Linked DNA regions of Drosophila melanogaster. The protein of the gene in region 1 purifies or fractionates together with the protein of each later gene. This does not show direct contact. Each region holds a gene or a part of one and is shown on either strand. Other genes may lie near its edges. The genes, in order: Acat1 and MESR6.

Region 1 (4,073 bases):
GATCGTTAGATCCATGTACTCGGCGCTGTTGTTCTTCATCCTGCGATACCATCTGCACCAGCGATTGCCAGGAAATCTGCAGGATCTAACCCATGGCGACTATGCGGCCGTAATGGGTCGGACCACGTTGCAAGATCTGAGGGAGGTGCCCAGTCTGCAGGATCTGCTGGGTCTCAAATCCGTGATAGTGACCTCTGAACGGGAGGAGGAGGTGCTTCGCACGTTAGATCGGTGTACGCTGCGAGAAGGAGCCGGCTCACATCCACTTTTCTTTGGCCTGATTTCCCAGGATGCACTTCTCCATCTCACCCAACGGGGCCATCGGGCTGGAGCGTATCACATCATACCGCAAGACGTTCTGGAGCAGCAGCTGGCCATTTATCTGCAGAAGCACTCGCATCTGGCCAGCCACTTGGACCACCTCGTCATGTCCATTCGATCCGTTGGCCTGGTGCACCACTGGGCGGGCCAAATGGCTAGCGAGCGGTACTTCCGCAGTCGGTTCCTGTACCGGGAGAAGCGCATCCGACAGCCGGATCTGTGGGCGGTCTACATCCTGACCGCAGGACTATATCTCCTGTCGCTGGTCGTCTTCATATGCGAACTTCTGGCCTCCAGACGAGCAGGGCTCTGAACAAAATATTTTACTTATTATTACTAAATAAATTATGAAAACAAGAGAGAATGCTAATGCTTTTACTTTACGAGTAACGGGTATAATATCCTTAAATGCCGAAATTATCATTTTTTTAGGTATATATTAAATGGTGAATTTATAGGCATATATATATATATATATAAATTCAACAATAAAGAACATTTTCAGCACTTAATTCATTTTTTTCACAGAACAAATATAAGATGTTTAGACTTTGAACCCTATTACCGTCATGGAAGAACACTGATTTGATATACATATAATAATTATTGACTGTTTCATAATTTTATTATGCAAATCACAATAGTTCGTTAAATGCGGCCACGCGCAATCAAGACACTTAACAATTTAAAAAAAAACATAGAGCTTTCCACAATAATCTCGATGGATCAGTAGTAAATGCATTTCTGGTTGAGAGCAGGTCCGCCAGGTGACCTTTACAGCTTCTCGATGAGAATGGAGGAGGCTCCACCGCCGCCATTGCAAATGGAGGCGCATCCCAGCTCGCCCTTCTTCAGGCTGTGCGAAAGATGGGCCACCAGACGGGCTCCGGACATGCCGATTGGATGGCCAATTGACACGGCACCTCCATGAACATTAACCTTGGCTGGATCCACATCCAGTTTCTTGATATTGGCCAAAACGACCAGGGAGAAGGCCTCATTGACCTCCCACATGGCCACGTCTTCCTTGCGAACGCCGGCACGCTTCAGTAATTTGGGAATGGCCAGAGCTGGGGCAATGGGGAAGTCAATGGGATCGGTCTCCGCATCCTGGAAGGCCACAATCCTGGCCAGCGGCTTAATGCCCGCCTTCTGGGCTGCCTCGGCACTCATCAAAACCACGGCGGCACCGCCATCATTCAAGGTGGATGCATTTCCGGCTGTCACAGTGCCATTTTCCCTTTGGAAAACGGTGGCCAACTGTCCAAACTTGTCAAAATTCACCCGCTTGTACTCCTCATCCTCTGAGATGACGATCTCCGGCTTCCTCTTCTGCTGAATCTTCACCGGGGCAATCTCGTCCTGGAACACCTTGTTGGCCCACGCGGCAGCCGATCTCTTGTATGATTCAATGGCAAAGTCATCCTGCTGCTGACGTGTGATCTCCAGTTTTTTGGCCGTATTTTCGGCACAGTTGCCCATGTGGAACTTGTTGTACACATCCCAGAGGCCATCGAAAACAATGCCGTCGGTGAGATTGACGCCGCCATAGGGCGTGGCTCCCCTCTTCAGATAGTAGGGAACATTCGACATGGACTCCATACCGCCGGCAACGACCACATCAGCATAGCCGAGCATCAGGGATTGGGCGCCCAGCATAACGGCCTTCATGCCCGACGAGCACACCTTGTTCACCGTGGTGCAGCATACATTGGTGGGCAGTCCGGCGAAGATGGCAGCCTGACGGGCGGGGGCCTGTCCCAGACCAGCAGATACCACATTGCCCATAATCACCTCCTGGACATCGGTCTTCGCAATTCCGGCCTTTTCGATGGCCGCCTCGATGGCACGGGCTCCCAATTGGGTAGCCGTCAGTGGGGCCAATTGACTTTGGAAGCTGCCAATTGGTGTGCGGGCTGCCGAAACCACCACAACTTCGGCGATTTTGGAGCTGTAGTTGCGATGGGCGCTCCAGCGACGCGTGGCCTGCAGCAGTCGGGCGGACATCTTGGAATTTAATTAATTTGTATTAACTAGCACAGCAATCACACAGGTAAATGGCAAGAATCCAATCAGAAATCACGCCAGACCTGTTGCTTGCGTAACAAACCGGTAATCGGTCTATCGATAGGCAACAGCTGGCGCGGTAAAAGTGTTGGCAACTGTTAAATAAGATTAAAGCGACTGGTAATTTTCTATTAGTTAGCATTCTTTAAATGTAATTTTTAATTTTTGCTGTTTTAAGTATATTGCTTGAAAACTACGCTGTAAAGATGCAATGCTAAGTTTATATATTCTTTTTACAATACCCAGCACTGAAAATGCGTAAATTGAACTTAACGGTTACAAGCGAACAACAATAAATAAAAACACGAAAATTGAAATTTTAAACACAAATGTATCTCATTTCATCAATATTTATTTTAAGACTAATGCAAATTGCACAATGAATGGCAGCTGAAAAAACTGGAATCTTAATGCTAATAATACGTGTTTAAAATATGGCATTCAAAAAAATTTTTGCATAAAAAAAATGTAAATATTTCGGAACTTATTCCACATCACAACGCTCATAGTCTCCATGGTTGCCATGGCTCCTGGACTGCACATCTTTCCTGATCAATTTGATCAGATCACCATCTGGTCGCGCGTTGTTAGCTTCTGATGGCCAGTGGCCACCACCAAAGACCTCCGCATGCGGTTCCGCTGCAGCGTGGAATTCCGTTCCCTCACCGATTGCCGCAGATGCTGGCGACGTGCTCCTCCGGGTCCAGAACCAACGACTCCACCTCCGCTTGCCTCCCTCTCGGCTGCATTCATGGCCGCCAGCAGCTCGAAGGCTTGTTTCTTCTGCTCCTTTGTCCAGAGATTGGCCACTGGTGGAACTTCTGCCGGCTGTTCCTGCGTGATCGGTGGCTTGACGGCCAAAGGAGGTCGCTGCACGCGAGTTGCAGCTGCTTGGGCTACCTGGTTGACCGATGGCAAGGATTTGGATGTCGCCTTGGATCCGCGACTCAACCCGAAAAGCGAGAGTATAGATTTCCTGCGGGTGGAGGAGGCCTGGCTGTCACCGGAATCATTGCTGGATACGCTCATTTGCATGGGAACGCCAGTGGGCGGAGGATTCACTGCCGGTTTAACCGCCGGTGGGGGCATATTCTCGATACCATAGGTAACAAACTTTTGGGGCGACTTGAAGGTAACCTTACGCAGAGTATTTAGCGATTTTGGTGCCGGAAGTGTGGCTAAATTGAGTTTAGCCACCGTGGGCGACGTCTCGTTGAGTTCGATAGTGCAGTAGGTGTCATCATGGTGCGATTTCGCTGGCTTCCTAGGAGGAATGGGCGGAGCTATCGGCTGTCTGCAACTACAAGTGTGTTTCTCCTGCTGAAGAAGTTTTTCCTGCATCTGCCGCTCCAGCGTTTGCACGCGCTGTTCGGCCAGCTGTAACTCCTGCTCCCGGGTCTGCAGCTCTTCGAGCTTCTGCTGCAACAGGGATTCTTGGGCACGAATGGCGTGGAGACGGGTCTTTAGTACTTCATCGAATATGTTTTGGGTAAGAGCACGAGGACTGCTAGGGGCCTCCTTTAGAAGCTCCTGATCCCTTTTCTGCTGCTCCTGATCCTTTTTACGGCGCCGCTCTTCCGCCAGTTCCACCTGCCTCTCCTCCGCTCGCTCCTCTCTCCTTATACTTTCATAAAGAGAGGGATCCGACAGCTGTAGTTTCTTGGCAGGAAAGATTTTGCGCTTGG
Region 2 (4,658 bases), on another chromosome or scaffold:
TTTACTTTATAGGATTTCATTTTAAAGTAGAGCAATCAAGAGTAGAAATTCCTGCCACCCCCCTCCTCCTTTTTTTGCCATCGTCATCGTGGTTGTCATCGCCCATCCGTGCCATCCTTCCCCAATTGATTCGTCGGAGGGGCCAACGAAGGTTAATGCGAGCCAGTGTTTGACCTCCAGGGTCAAGCTGAAGGCAAATTAATTGCGAGAATTGGGTGCGACAGCTAGAGAAAGCGCAGAGCTGCTGTAATTGATACAAGAACAAAAACGAGAAGCCAAATTGCAGCCAATTGATCGAGTTAAGGGGCCGATGCTCTCGAAGTTGGCACTTCCGTTGCGTTATAAGGGCTGGGGAAAGCCCCCCAATCAAAAACAATTTCTCTCAGTGTGCCAGCGAGCTCGATAATTAGGCGGTCAACATAAGTAACATGGAGATATAGATCTTTCATGGAATCTTCGTCCTTGATTACTGCTCTAAAACCTATAATTGAGCATAATATTTTGGTCAGCAAATCAACTTATACTGGTAACAATTTGATAAGAAAATGTGTGAATTTTTAAGTACTATTTATTACTAGTTTCTAGTGATGCAGTTGTAGTTGTACGGCAATGAAATGAAAAACTTCAACGAGAGCAGACTTCAATCCTAAACGGATTAATTAAGATATCGTGGTAGTAAAGATTTTACATGGCAACGTGGTACTCGGCGTAATGGACGCCACCGAGGGTGTTTCGGCCCACGCGAAAACTTGGCCAAAAATAAAATGTAAACGGTAATAAAAGAAGAGTGTCGCCTATGTATGTACAGGGACACCCACAAAAGTCTATATACAGTTATATTTTTTGATAACGCTCGACGGCGGAAACATTGCACGCCAACGCCCGAGCAGCGCTGTCGGCGCTTTTCCAGACAACCGAGCCGCGCCATTCATTTCCACCAGCTGCAAAGGGCGAAAAAGACGAACGCAGATACTAGCGCTCAGATACAGATACAAAGTCGAACTCGCAGATACACAGACACACACACACACAGCGGCAGTGTTTTACGCATTCCAATCAGCCATGTGGGCGTCCGATTCCCTCCGCTGCAAATGCAAATGTATATATATACACATAGATATACAAATATATACCTACTACATATGTACAGATATAATAAAAACTTATGAATGAAAAGCTTCTGCGCAGCGTGGGCGGAACGCTGGGCCAGCTTTTTGGGGGCTAAAAGCTCCAGAGGCCGCTCAGCACCCCCCGACCCCCGCCCCCCATCACTCGCTCGATGGCAATCGCATTATGCCAGCGTCCAAGCTGCGGATACACACGGAATATTGATTGGAGGCAAAGTCTCCAAATCTGAAGTAACCTTGAAATGTGGGTGGCCGGTGGGCCGAAGGTTGAGGATAAAAGGGTCTTGTGGGGGGGGGGGGCGAGTTGCTGGAGGGGAGTGTGAGACATTTGGATTGCGGATGGCAAAGAGCTCGTGTGCTGGCTGAGCTTATAAAGTGCTGTTTAATTAATGAACACTGCTGTTCGAAAAATTGTTTCAAGAACTTGCAAATTGAAATTCAAATCTTTCCTTGGTTGCACGAGAGTCGCAAGAAGAAGGTTACTCCCTAGTGTCTCGACTATGAGATACTCTCTCCTTACTTCTTATTTTCGTTTACCACTATCAAAGTGATATGAATATAGAAATAGGTGTACTATTTTGATAATATTAAAATATTTTTTTTTTTAGTTTTTAATAAATTTTGTTATTTTTAACATTTTTAACATTTTCTAGATTCTACATTCTAGATTCTAGATTTCAAAGCGAATGCTTTAAAAAATCAAATTTATTTTAAGTTATATCAAAAAATACTCAACGTCTCAAGTAATTGACAAAATAAGGTACAATATATGGAAAATGTGTAGAAAAAACTTTTAAATTAAACGGACACAACTTTAATCGATACATCGATAGTTGGGTCCTATGTAATGTGACCTTATTATAGGGCTACCATTTTTAGCAATACGGGAAACTTGTGCTAGACAGCAATCTGGTCACACTGCCAAACAGCTGTTAATGGTCAAAGACCCCCAAAATATTAAATACAAAAGAAATTAAGTCTGCTTACCGTGCAAGTAATTGAACAGTGTGCTAAGGACCCAGTTGTACAGTCAAAGTAATCCCGAGGGAAATGGAATCGGATACGCTGGACCAGGAGAGTGCCGCGGCTGCTCTAAAAAAACTATCGCCAAGTGAAAGTCCCGAAAGTTCGAAGAAATGGGAGCCGACTTCGGGAGAGTGGGTTGCGGCGGGTGGGGGAGAAGAGGCGCCGCCAACAAAGAGACAAAAGACTGCAGACGAAAAGGAGGAGAATCGGGAGGAAGACGAGGATAGCGAGGAGAGCGTTGATGAGGAGGAGGATGATGGCGAGGGCATCGTCCAGATTGGCGGCACCATCAGCCCAAGGCATTTCCAGCGCATCCCCGTCTTTATCGTCGACTACCACAACGATGTGCTGGAGTTCATCTACCGCTGCTTTGCCACCCGCCACCTTCCGCTGCAGAACAACACCCTTGTCCACTTCGACTCGCATCCGGATCTGGTCATTCCACGGCACATTGCCGCCAGTTCCACCTACCAAAAGGAAACCATGTTAAATGAGCTTAGCATCGAGAACTGGATCATGCCCACACTTTATGCAGGTGAGGATTTCTATGGGGAATCGAAGAGAACTATATTATATAGAAATATAATATTAAATGCTATTATTTTATTTCTAGAAATAGAAAACAATGTAAAAGGACAAATAAAAAAGTTCTATGGTCTAATTTTACTAAGAACTTAATATTTAAAGATTATCTCTTAGTAACTGCTAAATATCCATTGAGTACTGTTGTCAAAAAGATTCCTTTCTACATTTAAAGGATTTCAAACCAAAAACTTATTAACTGTGATGAGTCTAATGACATTAATTAGCTATAATTGCATTTTCTTATAGAAATTAGTGTAAAATAATAACTTATTGCTATATTACTTGCTCTTAGGACATTTCAACCGCGTCGTGTGGCTGAAGAACTCATGGTGCCAGCAGCTGCCCACTGGCAGGCACGACTTTAAGGTTGGACAAAAGGACGATCGCATTGGAGTGGACTGTCCGTTGGACTACTTTATTGCCGACGGCAACTACTGCACTACGGAGGATCTGCAGGATGCCAAGAGCGTGGAGCTGCAGGTTCACGATGCAGACAACGAAAGCCTCAATCCGAACGAATTCCTAACGGAGAAGGACGCCAAGGGATTCGTGCTGGACATAGACCTCGACTTTTTCAGCACCTCCAACCCCTTCTTGGAAATATACAAGGATGCCGATTGCTACAATCAGCTAAAGGAGATCTTCCACTTCGAAAGCGTGGAGAAGGTGAAGAAGTCGGGCACGGCTACTATAGCAGATTATTTGGCCACGGCAGAGAGGCGACAGACTCAGTTGGATGCACTGAAGACGATTTTCTGGCATCTGGAGGAGGAGCGCAATTTCGAGGGACTGGAAAAGCCGGACGAGACCGTGGTCACGCCCGAAGTGTACGCCAAGATTGTGAAACTGGCCGATCAGCTGCAGGAGAAATATCCAGACGATGAAATCGACTGGCATTTGATCTTCGATTCGGGCAGCACCACCGATAATAATGGCTTGCCCCACCACATCAGCATCGCCGAAGAGTTGGAAACGTACTTTGCAAACTTCAAGCGTTTCTTACAGCGCCTGCCAGTTCCTCCAGTGGCCATTACAATGGCCCATTCCGCTCAAGATGACTACTGCCCCCAGGATCAGGTGGCATTCATTGAGGAATGCGTTCTACGCCTGCTTAAGGAGGTTTTTGGCGAAAGACTGCACGACAAAGCCATCCTGCACTATATGGACGATCCTTGGGATGTGATGAAGCTCTAAGCTTATGGATAACTAGGGGTTCTTTCGCCCGCCACTGCGAATTAGATTCTGAATTTACAAAACTCGTTTGGGCGGGAAAACTCCACGACTAAAAGATACCCGTAGTGATTTCGAATTAGAACCTAATGATGGAAAATCCAATACTAATTATAATAATATTTTTTACTTTGAAATATACGCGAAGTATTTATTACAGACAATTAAACAAACTCATTTAATGCAAATTGGGTATATTCAAAATAATTTGTTTTTAAACTTTGAAAGGTTTCGCGACGAGATACCTTTTAAACGACATATTAGGTGCCCCAGTAAAATCAAAATGTGTATGCACAGATAATCTATATTTAATCGTAAATACTAAATGTTAGTTATAAAATGTACATGTATTTAAGGATAACTCTCTTCCATTCAGTGCCGTAGGTTCCTAGAAAATGCGCAAAATCTCATTTATTGACATGGACATGGCATGAACACCTGAATTTCTGGCTGGGGGTTATGACTGGCCACCTCATTGAGGGCAGTCAACTTTTAATTGTCGACCCCAATTCGTGGCCGAAATCAATAAGCCAATGGCCCCAGGCGAAACTTTCAGTAGCATTCTGTGGCTCAGTCGTTGTGGAAGTTATACAGATTAGCTTGAGAGACATAGTGAGTTCACTTAAGCTAATTAAACACTTTTCGCTTTGTTCTATAGGTGGTAAAACTTAAAATGATTTCCATTTCGAA

The links.
Region 2: the proteins of Acat1 (region 1) and MESR6 purify together in Drosophila melanogaster (affinity purification with mass spectrometry, with the first as the bait; one large-scale study listed by BioGRID). This does not show direct contact.

What each region holds. Positions count from the first base shown.
Region 1 is NC_004354.4:7,886,343-7,890,415, forward strand, and holds Acat1 (Acetyl-CoA acetyltransferase 1), read right to left. Parts: upstream 2,444-4,073; 5' UTR 2,329-2,443; coding exon 1,096-2,328; 3' UTR 788-1,095; downstream 1-787. Other genes in the region: Nek2, read right to left, coding at 2,950-4,073.
Region 2 is NT_037436.4:19,090,633-19,095,290, forward strand, and holds MESR6 (misexpression suppressor of ras 6), read left to right. Parts: upstream 1-2,037; 5' UTR 2,038-2,177; coding exon 2,178-2,688; intron 2,689-2,766; coding exon 2,767-2,808; intron 2,809-3,030; coding exon 3,031-3,932; 3' UTR 3,933-4,128; downstream 4,129-4,658.